Linked DNA regions of Saccharomyces cerevisiae S288C. The main gene of each other region encodes a partner of the protein of the gene in region 2 in a complex. Each region holds a gene or a part of one and is shown on either strand. Other genes may lie near its edges. The genes, in order: TFB4, TFB2, SSL1 and SSL2. A codon is read from its position in the direction of its gene.

Evidence for each region.
Region 1: the proteins of TFB2 (region 2) and TFB4 are in contact, whole or in part, in a cryo-EM structure (PDB 7K01), measured with the Saccharomyces cerevisiae proteins. Residues at the interface, in NP_015203.1 of Saccharomyces cerevisiae: Leu33 (codon at 2,873), Tyr36 (codon at 2,864), Arg37 (codon at 2,861), Pro41 (codon at 2,849), Lys44 (codon at 2,840), Phe45 (codon at 2,837), Met48 (codon at 2,828), Ala49 (codon at 2,825), Phe52 (codon at 2,816), Asn53 (codon at 2,813), Lys64 (codon at 2,780), Trp65 (codon at 2,777), Val66 (codon at 2,774), Asn67 (codon at 2,771), Ser68 (codon at 2,768), Asn69 (codon at 2,765), Gly70 (codon at 2,762), Ala111 (codon at 2,639), Leu112 (codon at 2,636); in NP_015381.1 of Saccharomyces cerevisiae: Val59 (codon at 2,060), Asn62 (codon at 2,069), Ala63 (codon at 2,072), Ala66 (codon at 2,081), Phe67 (codon at 2,084), Asn68 (codon at 2,087), Met114 (codon at 2,225), Arg117 (codon at 2,234), Phe118 (codon at 2,237), Ile245 (codon at 2,618), Gln246 (codon at 2,621), Ala249 (codon at 2,630), Thr250 (codon at 2,633), Phe253 (codon at 2,642), Ile254 (codon at 2,645), Leu258 (codon at 2,657), Pro260 (codon at 2,663), Ile261 (codon at 2,666), Ile262 (codon at 2,669), Lys264 (codon at 2,675).
Region 3: TFB2 (region 2) and SSL1 share a complex: the UniProt entries of both Saccharomyces cerevisiae proteins name them as parts of the 7-subunit TFIIH core complex.
Region 4: the proteins of TFB2 (region 2) and SSL2 are in contact, whole or in part, in a cryo-EM structure (PDB 7K01), measured with the Saccharomyces cerevisiae proteins. Residues at the interface, in NP_015203.1 of Saccharomyces cerevisiae: Asn344 (codon at 1,940), Phe345 (codon at 1,937), Tyr350 (codon at 1,922), Ala368 (codon at 1,868), Arg369 (codon at 1,865), Phe370 (codon at 1,862), Val371 (codon at 1,859), Arg380 (codon at 1,832), Glu414 (codon at 1,730); in NP_012123.1 of Saccharomyces cerevisiae: His116 (codon at 2,687), Asp117 (codon at 2,684), Phe118 (codon at 2,681), Leu121 (codon at 2,672), Arg122 (codon at 2,669), Leu123 (codon at 2,666), Trp133 (codon at 2,636), Ile142 (codon at 2,609), Pro167 (codon at 2,534), Ser168 (codon at 2,531), His169 (codon at 2,528), Gln723 (codon at 866), Val727 (codon at 854).

The regions. Positions count from the first base shown.
Region 1 is NC_001148.4:669,241-673,732, forward strand, and holds TFB4 (TFIIH/NER complex subunit TFB4), read left to right. Parts: upstream 1-1,885; coding exon 1,886-2,902; downstream 2,903-4,492. Other genes in the region: exocyst subunit SEC8, read left to right, coding at 1-1,633; BRR1 (Brr1p), read left to right, coding at 3,231-4,256. UniProt on the Saccharomyces cerevisiae protein: Component of the general transcription and DNA repair factor IIH (TFIIH) core complex, which is involved in general and transcription-coupled nucleotide excision repair (NER) of damaged DNA and, when complexed to TFIIK, in RNA transcription by RNA polymerase II.
Region 2 is NC_001148.4:317,799-322,279, forward strand, and holds TFB2 (TFIIH/NER complex subunit TFB2), read right to left. Parts: upstream 2,970-4,481; coding exon 1,428-2,969; downstream 1-1,427. Other genes in the region: RNY1 (ribonuclease T2), read right to left, coding at 1-1,147; MEI5 (Mei5p), read right to left, coding at 3,164-3,832; VPS30 (beclin 1), read left to right, coding at 4,273-4,481. UniProt on the Saccharomyces cerevisiae protein: Component of the general transcription and DNA repair factor IIH (TFIIH) core complex, which is involved in general and transcription-coupled nucleotide excision repair (NER) of damaged DNA and, when complexed to TFIIK, in RNA transcription by RNA polymerase II.
Region 3 is NC_001144.5:157,937-162,672, reverse strand, and holds SSL1 (TFIIH/NER complex subunit SSL1), read right to left. Parts: upstream 2,625-4,736; coding exon 1,239-2,624; downstream 1-1,238. Other genes in the region: mitogen-activated protein kinase kinase kinase SSK1, read left to right, coding at 1-918; THI73 (Thi73p), read left to right, coding at 3,168-4,736. UniProt on the Saccharomyces cerevisiae protein: Component of the general transcription and DNA repair factor IIH (TFIIH) core complex, which is involved in general and transcription-coupled nucleotide excision repair (NER) of damaged DNA and, when complexed to TFIIK, in RNA transcription by RNA polymerase II.
Region 4 is NC_001141.2:80,010-86,004, forward strand, and holds SSL2 (TFIIH/NER complex ATPase/helicase subunit SSL2), read right to left. Parts: upstream 3,033-5,995; coding exon 501-3,032; downstream 1-500. Other genes in the region: kinetochore-associated Ndc80 complex subunit NDC80, read left to right, coding at 1-140; chaperonin-containing T-complex subunit CCT2, read left to right, coding at 3,293-4,876; AXL2 (Axl2p), read left to right, coding at 5,357-5,995. UniProt on the Saccharomyces cerevisiae protein: ATP-dependent DNA translocase. Component of the general transcription and DNA repair factor IIH (TFIIH) core complex. When complexed to CDK-activating kinase (CAK), involved in RNA transcription by RNA polymerase II.

The DNA.
Region 1 (4,492 bases), 350 kb from region 2:
TGTCTCCTCAAACATGGATTTAGACTCTATTTATGTAAAAGATGAATCCTTCGAACAAGATGAGCCTCTAGTCCCTCCTTCTGTTTTCAACATGAAGGTAATTTTAGATCCGTTTTTGCTGTTTACGCAATCGACATCTACAATTGTTCCCAGTGTCTTAACACAAAATACTATTTCATCCCTAACCTTTTTCGATGATTATATGAATAAAAGTTTTCTCCCAAAGATTCAGATGACTATGGATTATTTATTCACGGTTGAAGTAGAATCCAATAATCCGTACGCCTTAGAGCTATCCGATGAAAATCATAACATTTTTAAAACAGCATTAGATTTTCAAAGGTTATTTTACAATTTATTGAATGTTTTCAACACAGCAAACACATTTAGAGAAAAAATATCGTACTGCATTCTAGATCTTTTGAATCATTTTTATAATTACTACTTGGGGCTATTTAATTCCTTGATTGGTACTTCTGATAGACATTTAACTAGGAAAATAATTACGGCATGGTTGCAGAATGGTATTTTGATGGATCAAGAACAAAAAATTCTGAATGGGGATGAGACACTCTTTCATGAAGAATCCATAGAGTTATTTAAGGAAATACCTCATTTCTATCAAGCGGGTAAAGGTTTGAGCAAATCTGATTTATTCAATAACTTGACATTGGACACAATTCTGCAGTTTTCGGCAAGCGTGTTATGGATATTAAACTGGCTGCCAGGCTTAAAAAAGGCTATCAATATTGATGAAGTAAGCCAAGAACCCATGTTAGATGCTGATAGATTAAGGAGCAGCTGGACATTTTCTGAATCAATGGATTTAAACTATTCGAACCCTAGTTCCAGCCCAAATTCATTAGGAAATCTAAAAATTTTATTGGATGATAAAGCCTCCAAAAAATTTGATGAGACTATCGACGGATTCAAAACCTTGAAATTCAAACTAATCACTATACTGAGGTTCAACATTAGGGCCTTGTGTATATACGACATCGGGTCTTTTTTTCAAAACACCAAAATTTGGAATATGGATGTGGGTAGTATTGAATTAGATCAAAATATAGCTTCTCTAATTTCCGAATTAAGAAGGACTGAAAGCAAATTGAAACAACAGTTACCAGAAAAGGAAAAAAACTCCATATTTATTGGTCTTGATATAGTCAACAACTACGCCTTGATTAAGGGTGCCAAATCCATAAAAGTTTTGAACCATAACGGGATAAAGAAAATGTTGAGAAATGTAAATGTCTTACAACATGCCTATAGAAATCTTTCTTCTGAACCATCAAAAATTAATATGAACGTCACAATGAATTTTTACTCTTTATGCGGCTCCAGTGAAGCTGAACTATTTGAATATATAAAAGACAATGAATTACCGCATTGTTCTGTCGAAGATTTGAAAACCATATTGAGGCTGCAGTTTAGCGAGGAAATGCATCGTCAATTGAAGAGACAAAGCACTAGCTCAACTAAGGGTTCCATAAAACCTTCCAATAAGAGGTACACTGAAGCTTTGGAGAAACTAAGTAACCTCGAAAAAGAGCAGTCGAAAGAAGGAGCCCGCACCAAGATTGGAAAACTTAAAAGCAAATTGAATGCTGTCCATACTGCAAACGAAAAATGACATTTTTAGTTTGTGTAAAATTAATTTGATAAATAAATGAATGAAAATGATCAATAATAAGCGAATAACTATATTTTTAATTACCTTATTTTTACAATATTTTTCACTTGCACTTTTATTTTATTTTCAGCGCGCAGCTCGTCTTGTTCTGTTGAAATTCAAAGATACCTGAAGGAACATTACAACATCAATCAACACTTGAGTAGAAATATACACGATCCAATAAAATATACTGAAGCGAAGCAATCAGAAATGGATGCAATATCTGATCCAACGTTTAAGCATGCTAGATCAAGAAAACAGGTTACTGAAGAATCACCATCTTTGCTTACCGTTATTATAGAAATTGCACCAAAGTTATGGACAACTTTTGATGAGGAAGGAAATGAGAAAGGAAGTATAATAAAGGTTTTAGAGGCATTGATAGTATTTCTCAATGCTCACTTAGCGTTCAATAGCGCCAACAAAGTAGCAGTCATTGCTGCATACTCTCAGGGAATCAAATATTTATACCCAGAGAGCACATCTGCTCTAAAAGCCTCTGAATCTGAAAATAAAACCCGTAGTGATCTTAAGATTATTAACTCAGATATGTATAGACGTTTTAGAAACGTTGATGAGACGCTAGTGGAAGAAATATATAAACTATTTGAGTTAGAAAAGAAACAAATCGAACAAAATAGTCAAAGGAGCACGCTAGCAGGTGCCATGTCAGCTGGGCTGACTTATGTAAACAGAATATCAAAAGAGTCAGTAACTACCTCATTAAAATCAAGGCTACTTGTTCTTACGTGCGGGAGTGGCAGTAGTAAAGATGAAATTTTCCAATACATCCCTATAATGAACTGTATTTTTTCCGCAACAAAAATGAAATGTCCCATTGATGTCGTAAAGATTGGTGGTTCTAAGGAAAGCACGTTTTTACAGCAAACGACGGATGCCACAAATGGCGTTTATTTACATGTTGAATCTACAGAAGGGCTAATTCAATATTTAGCAACTGCAATGTTTATTGATCCGTCGTTAAGACCTATAATTGTTAAGCCAAACCATGGATCTGTAGATTTTAGGACATCATGCTATTTAACAGGGAGAGTTGTTGCCGTTGGATTCATCTGTTCAGTTTGCCTATGTGTCTTATCAATCATACCGCCCGGAAATAAATGTCCTGCTTGTGATTCTCAATTTGATGAGCACGTAATTGCCAAGTTGAAGAGGAAACCAGTTGTTCCAAGGTTGAAAGCCAAAAAGAAGGTGACGAAACCATGAACGAAAGGAATGAACATTATCCGTTTCAAGCAGGTAACCTTCGTCACAATGCATCGTAATAATACATAAAAAAAAATTAGCTTTAAGCACATGTATATTGGACATTCCACAGAAAAAAAAAAGCTTTTGATGTGATTAGCTTAAGACGTTGTGTCATCTTTGAACTGTTTTGACTTCAATCATATCGAATTTGATAATATAACTATCTATGTACTGTCTGGGTGCATCGCTGTTGTTGCTTCGGTAGATTTATTAGTTCGCTTTGGATAATGTATCATACAATAACATTGCCAACATCCATCATAACAGAAACATTAGGTGATAAACAATGAAAAGAGGAGAAAGCCAGGCGCCTGATGCCATCTTTGGTCAATCTCGTGCATTTGCACTATCTGATTCTTCAGTGAATCCTGATGTCATTGAATATCTTAAAAGTGTTAGGCAAGAAGCACTAAGAACCAACGCCATATCGATTAAGAATCATATGAATCTGCAAAAGAGGACGCGTCACAAATCAAGCATGTACGATGATGAGGATGAGGGGGCCCTTAAAAGGCACGCCATCTCGCCATCCTTGATTAGGCTTCAAAGGAATGTAGAAATATGGGTAAGGTGGTTTAACTCTGTGAAGGCGACGGTGTTGACTAATGCCTACGAGTTTACCGGTTATGAGGACGAAACACTGGATCTTTTATTGCTTTTCTTAAAGAATTATCTCGAAGATATGCCCAGCAAATGTACTACAGTTGAAAAAATTATAAGTGTCCTAAATCAGCATTCCTTTCCTGAGAAGGCAGAAGAGAAGGAAGAAAATCTTCAGATTGATGAGGAATGGGCGAAGAATATTTTGGTACGGCTGGAAAAAACCAAGATTGACAGTGTTGAGGATGTAAAAAAAGTAATCACTGAAGGAGATAAACATGAACTAGTTGGATACAACCAGTGGTTCCAATACCTTATAAACAATGAACCGCAGCATACTACTTTTCATGAAAAGATTACCTCTAAGCAACTTTGGGTTCTGATCAAGTATATGTCGAATACATGGATAAAAGAAATACACAAGAAAGGAAGGCATTATCGTCGGCTGCAAGATTGGCTATTCTACATACTGGTACATACACCCGAAAGAGTCACGGCAGAATATACAAGCATCTTGAGAGATCTTGGAAAGAAATGCCTTGAACTGATTCAAAAGAAGCCAGTTGAAGCACATGAGAATAAAATAACACTCCCGAAGGAGATGGCGGAATTGAATGTTGAGATACCAGCCGCGGTGGAGAATATGACGATAACTGAGCTGACAGTGTCTGTTATAGCAGTGAACTATGGTCAAAAAGACTTGATAGAATAATGTAAATAAATTTCTTATGTAGTTTTTTACAGGAAGTAAAAAGTGTTATTACTTTGATTGACTCATTCTTACATTTACTGATAGGCCGAAGATAAGCGGCGCCCTAAGAAAACTCGAGCGCAAATTGTCAGCGATGATGTAGCCATGCTATAGCATCAATCAATGTCAATAAGCTAATAACAACTATCATCTATACTCCAACGCAGCTCTCTTGTTTAGGTTTCTCGTCAATCAAA
Region 2 (4,481 bases):
GATCAAAATCGAATTGACCTGCATCCTTAATGTTCCTGAATTTGCAGACCAATTCATTAGATGAAGACGAAATAATGTCACAAAACCCTTGGTTAGTTCTCAAGTAGTAATTCCCATAGGGAGATTTAATCAACTCGTAATTCGCTGGTGTACCTTGACTCATCCAGTGTCCATTCTTGATTAGAAAGCCTTGCATCTGATCTCCATTATTAATATTTGATAGACGAACGACTCCTCTGTATCTTGCTCCCTTATTAGGTCTCCTCCTGAAAGTTGGGACATAACCTTTTGGAAAAAACTTAATACCATCTTTTTTACAATTTGTTCGAATGGCAAGTGAGTCCATGGGCACAAACATTTCGCTCAAAAGGGAACCCTTCAAGTGGTTATAATACCATACTTCGTTTAAGGAATTATGTCTATCACAGCCTATGAAGACTTTTTTTCCTTCAAACTCTTTACTTAGTGCTGCCTCTATCTGCTCCAAAGAATAGGAATTGTCCACACTTGGGACAATATTATTTTTTTCTAGTGTTGAAAATGTGTCCAATTTCTTGAATAGATTATAAGTTATTCTAAAATAATCATAGACCGCTCTTTTTCTGTCAACACTATTAGCACCCCACTCAGTATAGCACTCTGGTCTAATTGTGCTAATGCACGTGCCATGTTTATTAAACTCGTGTATCCATAAGGACTCATGATTCCCGTTATTACTCTTCCAATATAAGTCTAGGTATTCAAGCAGCTTTTCGCCCGATATTTGCAGGGATGTATCATTATTATTAAATTTCTTGTCATGCAATAAGTAGTAAACATCGTCAATTTGTAAGGACCTATTACAGAATTGTTGGTAGCCACCATGACAATTATCTGGCCATAATCCGTGAATTGTAAATGAATCTAGAGGCCCTAACTCCTTCACTAATTCAGTTTCATTTAAATCGTTTTTGCTTGGAAAGTAATTCCAGAATTGGGTTTGTAAAAATATTCCACCTGGATATTCAAAACAACACGAGTTGTCTATATCAGTTTTATTGGAACATGATAATGGAATGTTTATAGGGCAGTTTGGTTCTATACCCTTATCTGCTCCATTCGAAAAAATTGGTAGTTGTAAGAGACTGTGTAAGTTTTTCAGTAACATTGACACAGTACTTTAGTTTGAAATATCTTAAATAGTTGGCCTTGCAATAGGTCGAAAGTTGAAGCGTTAATTATAAATTCGGTAGTTCCCCTACTTTTCGATAGGTTTGCATTTAAGGGATATTTTAGGAAAAGCTTAGATACCGAAATTTTGTTGATAGAGATGCAAAAGAAGAAAGAATGAAAAAGGAAAACAATTACTGCGCAAGAAAGACGCGTGTGTTAGCGCAATTGTTACGTTGAATGCATTGATATGTAGGGGCATATATATGTATATATACTTATTGTTTCTTTTTCAACTTTCTTTTAGCGAAATCAAGTACTTGAGAATTACCTTCCTTTGAGATGAAAAATTTCTTCTTTTTGTCGTCTTTCCACAACAAAACACCGATATCTTGAGCGTACTTACTTAGTAAGTTGTATTCTTGACTAGTCTCAAAATCAGAATATAAGGAACCTTCATATGTAATGACTCTATCTAACTCTAATTGCCATAATCTGATTTGATCTACGACGGTAGGAGGCAAAACTTGTAAAGGCTCCTTACAGTTGGGGTCCAGCTCTAATTTTTTTTCTAGTTTCTCTTCTGCCAACCTTCTCATTTGAGGATGTGCATGTGTCTCCAGATAGGCAATGATTTGGTCGGCAGTGATACCATTGGTCAATGCTCTTCTTATGGATTCCCTTGTTATTTGACCCAATACCATATTCACAAATCTTGCCTTTAAATGAACAAAAAGAGACAAAACAGCAATTTGCAGAGGTGAATTAGAATATGAATAGATTTTGAAATTTGTTTCTACAATCAATGAGCCATCGGGTATATCTTGATTTTTTAGACCTGCTTTGTTCAAATCATCTGATGTAGTGATATCTGTTGTGGATTTCCCGTTGGCGCCGTCTTCATTTACTGACGGCTCTTCTCTATTCTGTCTCAGTACACTATCCATCGCATTGGAGGCAGATCTGATTGTCTTGGTATCGGAAGTCAGCATCAAAGCTAATTTTGTTGGATAAAAAATGCTATCATTTGAATGCTTCTGGAATACCAAACCATAGTCTCGCATATCTTGTAACATAATTCTTTGTGTTTCGCTTAATGCATCGATTTTATAGGCTTTGCCAACTTCCAATGCGCCTAACATGAAAATAAAATGTAAAACATCGACTAAATCCATTTTGGACGTTTCGATCATTTTTAAATATTGCAATAATAATGTCCATAATTGGGAGTTGATTTCTTGTAAAAGAAATTGGAAGCCTTCATTAGTGATTTTGAACTCTCCAGTAGAGTTTACCTCTTCCATTAGTTTACTGTGTTTTAAAAGGTTCAGTACTTTTTCAGATGGGATTTTAGCGAGGGGAGTGCCAACCATGAAATGTAATATTGTTTCCCATTTATTAGCTGAATATTCATCCAACAAGTCCAGGCTAACTACGTTTTCCTCTACAACCACACCGAATGAGTTTTGAACTTCCCCACCCGTTAATGCGTTCCTCAGGCTGATTTTGAATGTTGGGTTTAGGTTGATCATCAAAGTACCAGATGATTTATTTGGTATAAGAAGATGCAAAGACTTCATCGATTTGATTGCATTCTGAAACTGCAATTTACCATTAGAGTTAACCCATTTATCTAAATCCAACAAAGGTACTTCATTTTCGTTGAAAACCATTGCCATGATAAAAAATTTAGCTAGTGGTGGTAAAATTCTATAGATAGCCAGACATGTAGCTGGTGAGGTATAAAGCCTATTTTGAACTTGTTGAGGAATTTCTTCCAAATACTGAGTGACCGAATGCTTCAGGGAATAGTCACTCATTATATTGTTCACTTCTTCCCTTTGATGGTGGCTTTTAATGCTAAGTTACTAGTATTGTATTCTGACGATGAAGTTAGGTTATATGTGAATATATGATGGTGCGTAATTTGCGCTACAACAAAAAAATACATTCGTTTTTTCAGTAATCGCGTACCTAATAGAAATGCAAGATGAATAAACGTTTTACGCATTTTTCATTGTGGAAAGATTAAGCTGTAGTCAAGTTTTAACCTAGTGCATAGTTCAGCCATTCCAAAATCTTTCCCTTCGCTATCATGCAGCACCTTATTCAATTTTTCCAGCTCCGCTATTTTTTTTTTTTCCAACTCTTTCAGCTGTTCATTCATTTGACTCTCCCACTCTTGTTTCTCAACTTCTGAAAGTTGTCTAAAGTCATCACTTTCCTTTATTTCACAGATTTGATCTTCCATACCGTTGTCAATCTGATATTCCAATCTTCTCTTTTTAGCCTCCATTTCTTTTTCTAGAAAATCTTTATAGCCGCCCATTCTATTGATTTTGATTAAAGTGGAATTTAAAATAAAAGACAGTTCCATCTCACAAATTGTCCTCCATTTTTCTATGGATTTTCTGTTCTCAATGATCTTGTTTTCGCTGAGAATTTTACAAGCCTGCTGTAAGTGATTATTTTCTTGCCTGAGAAGAGTAAGTTGTTTCGTTAACTCCCTATTTTTTATCGCAATTTCCTTCTGGTTCGTAGGCTTCTTCAAGTCCTTAATACCGCTTTTACCGACCCGATAGTTATTAGTGTCCTTTTTTGTATAAGAATGGTTGATGCAAGTATTTTCTTCTTCGTTCACCAAAGTTTTGTCCTTGTCTAGCCACTCTTCCTGATTGTGCATTACTATTAGATAACTGTAATTTGGTGCTTTTCCTGGAAAGTATACTTGTGATGTGGAAGTATTTTAAGTTCAAGTTTCTTGTTTTCTTTCCTATTTATGCGGAAGGTACATAGAAGTTTGGGCGGCTAATACTTTTTCCGCGGCTAATCCTATAGTAAAATGATCACTTTCATATAGAAAGTTGGTATATAAAGTGTCAACTAAGAGAGAAATAGTTCGAACCAGGTGTATTTTAAATCAACTATCGGGAAGTATGGACTGGTGGTATAATCGAATTACATAGTCCTTTTACCTTCATTAGTAGTACTTAAGTGTCACCCGCCTGGGGATTTTGCTCTCATAGAAGTAAAAGGGTAGTGCTATGGGAGCACATTAGGTAGTTCAGTTACGTTTTATGGCAGTCACTGTTTTCGCAAAGACTCCCAGACACGGGCATTAAAATGAAGTGCCAAACATGTCACTTACCCCTGCAACTAGACCCATCTTTAGAAGGTCTTAGTTTAACCCAAAGAAATTTGCTACTTTCAAATAATTCAATTATCACTGCAACGAATGAAAATGTCATCAGCAACAAGGGCATCGAAGCCGCAGATAATTGTGGGCCTCAAATACCGAAGGAGAGGCTGAGGCGATTAGGGGAGATTCAGAA
Region 3 (4,736 bases), on a different chromosome or scaffold from region 2:
TCATCTTTCAATAATGAAGACACAATTACTCATTCAGAGTTAGAAGTGAACACCGGATCCCCTTCGCAAGAAAGCGGATCACTTAATGAAGCTGGTATAGGCATAACGCAACCCATGTCGGAAGTACAAAGAAGAAAAGAAGACGTTACGCCCGCATCACCAATATTAACAAGTAGTCAAACGCCGCATTACTCAAACTCGCTTTATAACGCACCTTTTGCTGTTTCCTCTCCACCAGATCCTTTACCAAACCTTTTTACCACCACAAGTGAAAAAGTTTTCCCCAAAATTAATGTTTTAATAGTTGAAGACAACGTCATCAACCAAGCTATCTTAGGTTCCTTTCTGAGGAAACACAAAATCTCATATAAACTGGCTAAAAATGGTCAAGAAGCTGTTAATATTTGGAAGGAAGGCGGTCTTCATTTAATATTTATGGATTTACAGCTGCCTGTCTTGTCTGGTATAGAAGCTGCCAAGCAGATTAGGGACTTCGAAAAACAAAATGGCATTGGCATTCAAAAAAGTCTCAATAACTCACACTCCAATCTTGAAAAAGGTACTTCAAAGAGATTCTCTCAGGCGCCCGTGATTATTGTAGCATTGACCGCATCTAACTCTCAGATGGATAAAAGAAAAGCACTTCTTTCTGGTTGTAACGACTACCTGACTAAACCAGTGAATTTACACTGGCTTAGTAAGAAAATTACAGAGTGGGGATGTATGCAAGCCTTGATTGATTTTGACAGCTGGAAGCAGGGAGAAAGCCGGATGACCGACAGTGTTTTGGTTAAATCTCCACAGAAACCTATTGCACCTTCCAACCCTCACTCATTCAAACAAGCGACATCTATGACCCCTACACACAGCCCAGTAAGAAAAAATTCAAACCTCTCGCCCACTCAAATAGAATTGTGAGTTTGGTTGTACCGTGTAGAGGACATTATGATAGAATGTAACGATATTTATTCAAAATAATTATTAATATTATTGTAAAACAAAGAATTTTTTTTTTTTTTTTAGTTGAATAAGTGCCTGATAAATTGAAAATAGTAATAAATATTCTTAATGCCGTAAGTGCTATTAAGATTTTCTCGTAATAAACAATAGGACATTAAATGAGGTTATTTTTGTAATAATTATGTAGTTATATGTCCATCAAAAACTATTTCGTTCTCTACTACTTGGATTTGTTATATGATGGAAGAGTGATCGTGTTATACGCTGACAGATTTTCGTTAAGTTATTACGGGCTTGGATTCACAGCCTGGGCAGTTATGAAGGATTTCATGGATGAACACATCGCAGTCAACACAAAATTCTTGTTTACAATCTTCACAACGATAGCGAGAACTTGTCAGTAGTTTACCATTTTTATGGTTTTTCAGTATGGGAAATCTTGACTGGCAACTAAAGCAGTCTTCTGATCGAAATTTTTCTGTTGTAGGTACTTCTGCAAATGTTTTTAACGGCATCAGATGGTGATATGATCTGGCCAGGTGGGTAGAAAGGATTAGCATCAAGTCACAACATGGACAGACTGTGGGCAATGAACAAACTTTACTATGACAATTGGGACAGAAGTATCCGCCGTAAACTAACTTGGAATGGCACGAACAAAAAGTTGGAGTATCTTCGAATATCCTTGTCGGAAACCCCATCTTTACGAGTGTGAAACCCTTATTAATTTTGTTAACGGGTAAAGGGGTAACAGCCTCGTTAAATAGCTCCTTTAAGTGAGTTTCATCGAGTAAAATTTTATAGAAGGATTCATCACCATAATTCGTTGCCTTGCATAATTCTTTACATATGGCCACTTGAGCTGATAACCCCAAAACCTTCACTCTAATTTTCTCAGAAACTAACGAATCGATAGTTTGGTGAATATCTCCAGGATCAGTTGTGGAAAGACTACCAAATACAATCAGTACTTCCCTTGTACAATGCGCAGGAACAGGCAATAAAAGGCCTCTTGCCATTTCCAATGCATTTTGCAATGAAGGGTTTCCTTTCGGTTCTTGTTTCCTGATGGATTTCAACGCATCAATGTGATCCTGCGGGTTTCCGCTAACTTGGCTGACCAGTTGTGCCAAACCGTTTCTCATTATGATAATACCCATTTGAGATATCGGATTTTGGTCGAAAAATTCATGGACAAAATCTATGGCGTACTGGATAATCATGGCATGCCTGTTTGGTCTCAAATCCTTTTCCAACATAGCTTCACTACAATCTAGTGTTAATATTAAACTTCTGATAATACCTCTTTGGTATGGCGTTATGTTTTTCTTAGCAGTACGTTTCTTTCTGGCCTCGACTATGCTAGCCACAAGAGATGCCATATCCCCTTCATCGTCCACTTTCACCAAATCCCAACTTCTCTTGATCTCATCCTCCCAAGCGTACCCACCATTTGAACCTTGCAGGTTTCTATTCGAGAGCCTTTTCTTCTTCTTACGCTGCACATGTTTATCCCTATCCCTGTGGCTTGAACTGTGCTGCTGTTGCTGTTGGTCTACACGATCATCTCCCTCGCCATCAAAATGAACTTGTCTCTTAGTTCTTCTAGTAATGGCAACTCTATCCTCATCCTCTTCAGATTCTGAAATAACTACAGGAGCCATTCTACTGCACAATCCTTCCGCACACACGCAATTAGCTGCCGACTTGCCCCACTAGTAATCACCTGCATCTATATAAGATAAGATGAAGACCTTTTACGTATCTTGAAAAACTATACAATAGCAAAGAAACCTACCACCCAGACCCTGTGCGGAGTATCTCGAACTTCCAGTATATTACTCTCAAGTAGATGACGCGTAATAGACAGGTTTTATTGGCAAATTTCGAGTCGCTATCATTATCAACATTAATTATAGGGTGGTGTTTGGTTGGTTCGAGTGCCGTCATAACTATTTGTTTTTTTTGCATATCTGGTTGATCCTCCTTAGTTAATATAGTCTCTTTGAGTTTCCCTTAAGGAACTGTCATTTGGTCCGGCGGAAAACATGGTGGTGACAGACAGCCTTTTCAGAGGTGATGAGCAATCTCGATGAGCATCTCAGCGGGTGCATATATACACGTATATAAGATAGTTCAAAGTATGATAGATTAAAGTTTACTTTGTTGTTGCTGAGAAGTAGTGAGAGTGTCAGCAAATCAATACAATGAAAAACATGTCACAACGATCCATGGACGTGGAGAAGAAGGCAGCTAACGCTGATAGTTGTTCCGTAAGTACCTCGAGCATTAATGTAGACGATGCGGACGTTGCTTTAAGATTCCTGAAACAGAACGGTCTCGACGAAAGCTCCACGGCTAATGAAGACGATGTTGTAGCAGGCGAAGAAGCCAACTTCTATGGTTCCCATGAATTATCTCCTAAGGTCCTGAGAAAAGTTGACCTCTTCATCCTGCCCTTTTTATGCTGTACATATCTTCTGATGTTTTTGGATAAGGCTCTGCTGAACTACGCTGCATCTATGGGTATCAAAGATCATTTGAAAGGTAACGAATTTTCTAATTTGGGTACTATCTTTTCTGCTGCTTACATTTTCATGGAACCTGTGGTCACTTACTTAATTCAAAAATTCCCCATTTCCAAAATCCTAGGTACTTTTATTACCGTCTGGGGTATCGTGTTGGCTTGCCATGCTGCTTGTAAGACGTACGCCTCGTTGATGGTCGTTCGTACTCTCCTAGGTCTCTTTGAATCCTCGAGTGCAGTTGGTTGTATCGCTATTAGTGGTATGTACTATACTAAATCTGAACAGAGTGCAAGAATTGGATTCTGGGCCACACAGGCTGGTACAGGTTATATTGTGGGCGGGTTAATTTCTTTTGGCTTTTTACATTATCATGGTACCGCTTTCACCTCTTGGCAAATAATGTTTTTGGTCGTTGGTCTGGTTACAGTTGCGTTTGGTGTTCTAACATTCTTATACCTTCCAGATAACGTCACCAATGCTTGGTTCCTAAACAAAGAGGAAAAAATTCAAGTTGTTGAGCATATCAGAGCTAACCAAACTGGCCTGGAAACAAAGAAGTTTAAGAAGCAGCAAGTTAAAGAACTATTCCTTCATGATAAGTTTACTTGGCCGATGCTTTTATTAACTGCATGTTCTCAAATTTCTACTGGTGCCATTGGTACATTTTCAGTGACCATCACTGGTACTTTTGGTTTCGACAAGTACGAAACAGCATTACTGCAGTTGCCTATTGGTGCCATTACGGCTATGATTATTCTTATAACAACTCAAATGTTGTCCCGCTGGGGTCATATCACACTCATAACCACATCTATGTATATTCCAGCTATTATAGGTTGTATCGTTCTTATCAGTTTACCCTTATCCCATAAGATCGGTAACTTATTTTCTCTGTACTTGCTTTACAGTGGTTCCTGTGTCATTACCAATATTTACATCTGGAATTCATGCAACACCTCCGGTTACACCAAAAGAGTTTTTAGAAATGCTATTACAATGATTGTATACAATGTCTCCTGTATTATTGCTCCACAGATGTTTAGGGCATACTCTGCTCCACGTTACATACCAGCAAAGATTGCCTTATTGGTCACTCAGTGTGTTTGTGTTCCCCTACAATTATACATTGGCTACATTTGCAAGAAGGAGAACGAAAAGCGTGATAAGGAACAAGAAGGTCAAGAAAGGAAGAAGTACCAATTTTTGGACTTGACTGATATCGAAAACAGAAATTTCAGGTACATTTAC
Region 4 (5,995 bases), on a different chromosome or scaffold from region 2:
TGATACATGTTATTGATATAACAAGTAAATTTAAAATTAATATTCAATCGTCATTGGAAAACTCTGAAAACGAATTAGGAAACGTCATTGAAGAGTTACGAAATTTGGAGTTTGAAACTGAACATAACGTAACAAATTAATAAAATAAATGATATATAATACCCGAGCAATCTACAGCAAAGCTCAGCCCCACCTTTCCGCATTTTAATAACCTGCATTTTGTTCAATTCCACCCTCACTCCCCTTCTCAAGTATTCCAAACCAATTTAAGTAAGTATTGATATGTAGTTATTTTTAAAATAAATATATGTAAGTATATTTGGATGCTTTAATTAGGAATGTTCTATTTTTTTTTTATTTTTTATATTATGGAAGAAAATGGACGTGACGAATCAATAAAAGAAAGAACAGCGACGAAAGAATAAGAAGACGGTGGGAACAAAAAGGTATTATGACTGAATAGATTCAAAATAGGAAGGTGACAATGAAACCAAGCCTATTCACTTCTTCAAATTCTTATAATACATCTTTCTGATTAATGGATGATGTTCCTTCAGTTCTTTGTTTTTATTGGTACTGTATTCCATATATGCCATATCTTCACCGCCAGCAAGACCAGACAATGAACCTTCACCTCTAACGGCCTTTGATTTAAATCTTTTGTGGCCATTTGAACCTCTCCCAACAGAATTGTCAGCGTCATCACCGACCTCGATACCAGCAGCTTCTTCGTTCTTCAATAATACTTCTTGCAATAGCTCTCTACGTTCTCTGGGTGAAGCATATGCCAAATTTGGAATGTTCTCCATTCCGTGTAAATGTGTAATGACTTTGAATGCGTAACCTTGATCTACCAAAAACGCTTGTCTCTTTGTTGAGTAGTACATTTCTTGCGTATCCTTAGAAACCAGAGAATAAAAGAACGCATTGAAACCTTCGTCATTACGTCTTTTAGCTCTTAAAATTCTTCCTAATCTTTGGGCTTCTTGACGACGAGACCCATAGTGCGAAGATATTTGAATTAAACAGGTAGCTTCTGGTAAATCGATGGAAGTATCACCAACTTTTGATAGAAATATGGTATTGATTTGGTCATTGTACTGGAAATTTTGCAGAATGTTCATACGCTCTTGTTGTGGTGTGGAACCATAAATAAATGGTTTTCCCATTTTCAAAGCATATTCTTGTAAGGCGTAAACATTATCTGAAAAAACGATGATCTTATCACCCCTCCTTTCGTGATATTGAATTAAGAATTGGCATGCCTGAAACTTTGTTGGATTCATGATATACAGTAGCATTCTTTTCCTTGCAGTTTCTCTTAAATACTCTTGGTAAAATTCTGCTGTCATGGGACACCAAACCTCTGCACATTGGACATTTGCAATATGTCCTTTTTGGGATAATTCCATCCAATTTGCTTCATAAAGTTTTGGACCAATTAAAAAATTCAGATCACCAATTTTATCATCTTCTCTAACCAGCGTTGCGGTCAGTCCCAATTTGGCGTGTGCTGCGATGGTGGAGACCACCCTACGGAACATTGCGGCGGGCACCACATGAACTTCGTCAAGAATAATGAACCCCCATTCCCTACCGGTCAAGAAATCCATAACTTTTTGTGAATCATGAGACCTGTTTCTTGTGTTTGCCACCATTGAATAAGTGGAAACAACCAAACCGGATTCTGTCTGGAACATTTCCTTATTATCAGAGGTGAAAACAGCACAATTTTCAGGTTGTAAGGTACACCATTGTAAAAATTGCTGCCTCCATTGCATGACGGAGACTGATGAAGTACATAAAACAATTACGGATTTTTTTATAGTACATGCTGCGGTAATACCGACCAAAGTTTTACCTGCGCCACATGGCAAAACAATAATCCCTGAACGAGCACGCCCATTACCAAACATTTTACTCAGCGATTTTTCTTGATAGGGTCTGATTTGAGTGGAAGGTTTCAAATCAATATCTAAATCCGGGTTTCTATGGTCGTTTCTAAAGTCGTATTCTTCCAACACGGGATAATCGATTTCTTGACATCTTTTCTTTACGACTTCAACAGACTCATTGGCAATTTCAAAGGAGTGAACGGCATCAATATCATCATCTTCTTCTTCCCGCTCATTATCACCACCTATAACTGCACTAAACACGGCTTCCACATCGTTCGGATTAACATTAGTAGCGGGTTTTCCAGCGGTTTGCTGAAGTTGTTGCTGTAGTACATCCTCTGGTGGCTGTACTTGATGATCGCTATCTATTCTTAGGGGCCCGATGACGGAATCATTCAGCAACATTTGCAGAATATCTGCTTGTGTAGTCTCCACGAAATATCTATTATGCTTAATAACTAGTTTCACTTTACCGTATGAAATGGTAGCCCCTTTAATGAAGTTGATTATCGATTCAGCAACGGGTACTTTGGATAATCTATCCAGAACTGAAATGATATCATCCGTCTCCAACCCTACAGAAACAGCTGCATACAAAGAGTATGCTGTGATCTTGTATTCATGAATATGGGAGGGTCTACTTATAGGCTCTGCAATGGTGACCAGAAAGTCCTGAGCCTGTTCTGCTAATGGAGAGAAACTCTCCAGAATGATCCTACCGTCACTTGGCGAGATCCAAAGGGGCCTGGAAGCATGGTCTGGTCTTAACCGCAAATAACTAAAGTCATGGCTTCTGAACATTCCAGAGACGGAATCTGGAACGAAATCTGCTGGTATATCGCTATTAGTGTCCTGCAAAAGCGCTTTATCCTTAGCGTCCATTTGATTCATAGAGGAATCCGCCGCTGTATGCCTGCTACTCTTGGTCTTTTTCCGAGGCTTCTTCAACCCTGTTACCATGGCGCCGGTATCCCTTTCTCCACGTCCTTCTGACGTTTCCCTGTTATCATCATAGTTCTCATCGATCTCTGCATCAGTAGCTGGTGAATCCTCATCTGATGAGAAAAAGGACTCACCCATATCTGGAAAGATTTTCCCCTTGCTCTTAGGTTGGTAGCCTTCAACGTCCGTCATGATTTATCTTCCACTGATTCCAACGTCAGTAGATGCTACTTTTACTAAATAATGTAGATATCATTACTATTATCTATCCTTACTAAGGACCTTTTTCCTTATACTTCTTAGAAGAAAAACCTCGTTTCTAACGATCTGAAATTTTTTTCTCTTCGCGGTGGCGAGTTTAAAAGACAAGAGCAGAGCAATAAAAAAGAGGATGAAAGGTGGCCATTAAATAGGCAAGAAGAGTCAGTCGTACAAAGCTCAAAAGATTCAGGATGAGTGTACAGATATTTGGAGACCAGGTTACAGAAGAAAGAGCGGAAAACGCCCGTTTGTCGGCGTTTGTCGGTGCCATTGCCGTGGGTGATTTGGTGAAAAGCACATTAGGCCCAAAAGGGATGGATAAATTATTGCAAAGTGCGTCCAGTAACACTTGCATGGTAACAAACGATGGTGCTACGATTCTGAAGTCAATTCCGCTGGATAATCCCGCAGCCAAAGTGTTGGTGAACATCAGTAAGGTGCAGGATGACGAAGTTGGAGATGGTACCACTAGTGTTACTGTTTTGAGCGCAGAGTTGCTTAGAGAAGCAGAGAAGTTGATTGATCAATCCAAAATCCACCCTCAAACTATTATTGAAGGTTACCGACTAGCTTCAGCAGCCGCATTGGATGCGTTAACGAAAGCGGCTGTTGACAACTCTCATGATAAGACCATGTTCCGTGAAGATCTGATCCATATTGCCAAGACTACTTTATCTTCCAAAATTTTGTCTCAGGATAAGGATCACTTCGCAGAATTAGCAACTAATGCTATTTTGAGATTGAAGGGCTCCACTAACTTAGAACATATTCAGATCATTAAGATTCTTGGTGGAAAGCTATCAGATTCGTTCCTTGACGAAGGTTTCATTCTTGCCAAAAAATTTGGTAACAACCAACCCAAGAGAATTGAAAATGCTAAGATTCTAATCGCCAATACAACTTTGGATACAGACAAGGTCAAAATATTCGGCACCAAATTCAAAGTCGATTCTACTGCTAAATTGGCACAACTAGAAAAGGCAGAACGTGAAAAGATGAAGAATAAAATTGCCAAGATTTCCAAGTTTGGTATCAACACTTTCATCAATAGACAACTAATTTATGACTATCCAGAGCAATTATTTACAGATTTGGGCATAAACTCAATTGAGCATGCTGATTTTGAAGGTGTAGAAAGGCTCGCCCTGGTTACAGGCGGTGAGGTGGTGTCTACATTTGACGAGCCAAGTAAATGCAAACTGGGAGAATGTGACGTGATCGAGGAAATTATGCTTGGTGAACAGCCATTCTTGAAGTTTAGTGGTTGCAAAGCTGGTGAAGCTTGTACCATCGTCCTAAGAGGTGCTACCGACCAAACGCTTGATGAAGCTGAGAGATCCCTGCATGACGCATTGTCCGTGTTGTCACAGACCACAAAGGAAACAAGAACTGTTCTTGGCGGCGGTTGCGCCGAGATGGTCATGTCAAAAGCTGTGGACACCGAAGCTCAAAACATCGACGGAAAGAAGTCCCTTGCCGTGGAGGCTTTTGCCCGTGCTCTGAGACAACTGCCAACCATTTTGGCAGATAATGCTGGTTTTGACAGCAGCGAACTTGTGTCCAAACTAAGATCCTCCATATACAACGGTATCTCCACCTCAGGTTTAGATCTCAACAACGGAACCATTGCCGACATGAGACAGTTAGGTATCGTCGAGAGTTACAAGCTAAAACGAGCAGTAGTCAGCTCTGCATCTGAAGCCGCTGAAGTTCTACTAAGGGTGGATAACATCATCCGTGCAAGACCAAGAACCGCCAATAGACAACATATGTAACATATTTAGGATATACCTCGAAAATAATAAACCGCCACACTGTCATTATTATAATTAGAAACAGAACGCAAAAATTATCCACTATATAATTCAAAGACGCGAAAAAAAAAGAACAACGCGTCATAGAACTTTTGGCAATTCGCGTCACAAATAAATTTTGGCAACTTATGTTTCCTCTTCGAGCAGTACTCGAGCCCTGTCTCAAGAATGTAATAATACCCATCGTAGGTATGGTTAAAGATAGCATCTCCACAACCTCAAAGCTCCTTGCCGAGAGTCGCCCTCCTTTGTCGAGTAATTTTCACTTTTCATATGAGAACTTATTTTCTTATTCTTTACTCTCACATCCTGTAGTGATTGACACTGCAACAGCCACCATCACTAGAAGAACAGAACAATTACTTAATAGAAAAATTATATCTTCCTCGAAACGATTTCCTGCTTCCAACATCTACGTATATCAAGAAGCATTCACTTACCATGACACAGCTTCAGATTTCATTATTGCTGACAGCTACTATATCACTACTCCATCTAGTAGTGGCCACGCCCTATGAGGCATATCCTATCGGAAAACAATACCCCCCAGTGGCAAGAGTCAATGAATCGTTTACATTTCAAATTTCCAATGATACCTATAAATCGTCTGTAGACAAGACAGCTCAAATAACATACAATTGCTTCGACTTACCGAGCTGGCTTTCGTTTGACTCTAGTTCTAGAACGTTCTCAGGTGAACCTTCTTCTGACTTACTATCTGATGCGAACACCACGTTGTATTTCAATGTAATACTCGAGGGTACGGACTCTGCCGACAGCACGTCTTTGAACAATACATACCAATTTGTTGTTACAAACCGTCCATCCATCTCGCTATCGTCAGATTTCAATCTATTGGCGTTGTTAAAAAACTATGGTTATACTAACGGCAAAAACGCTCTGAAACTAGATCCTAATGAAGTCTTCAACGTGACTTTTGACCGTTCAATGTTCACTAACGAAGAATCCATTGTGTCGTATTACGGACGTTCTCAGTTGTATAATGCGCCGTTACCCAATTGGCTGTTCTTCGATTCTGGCGAGTTGAAGTTTACTGGGACGGCACCGGTGATAAACTCG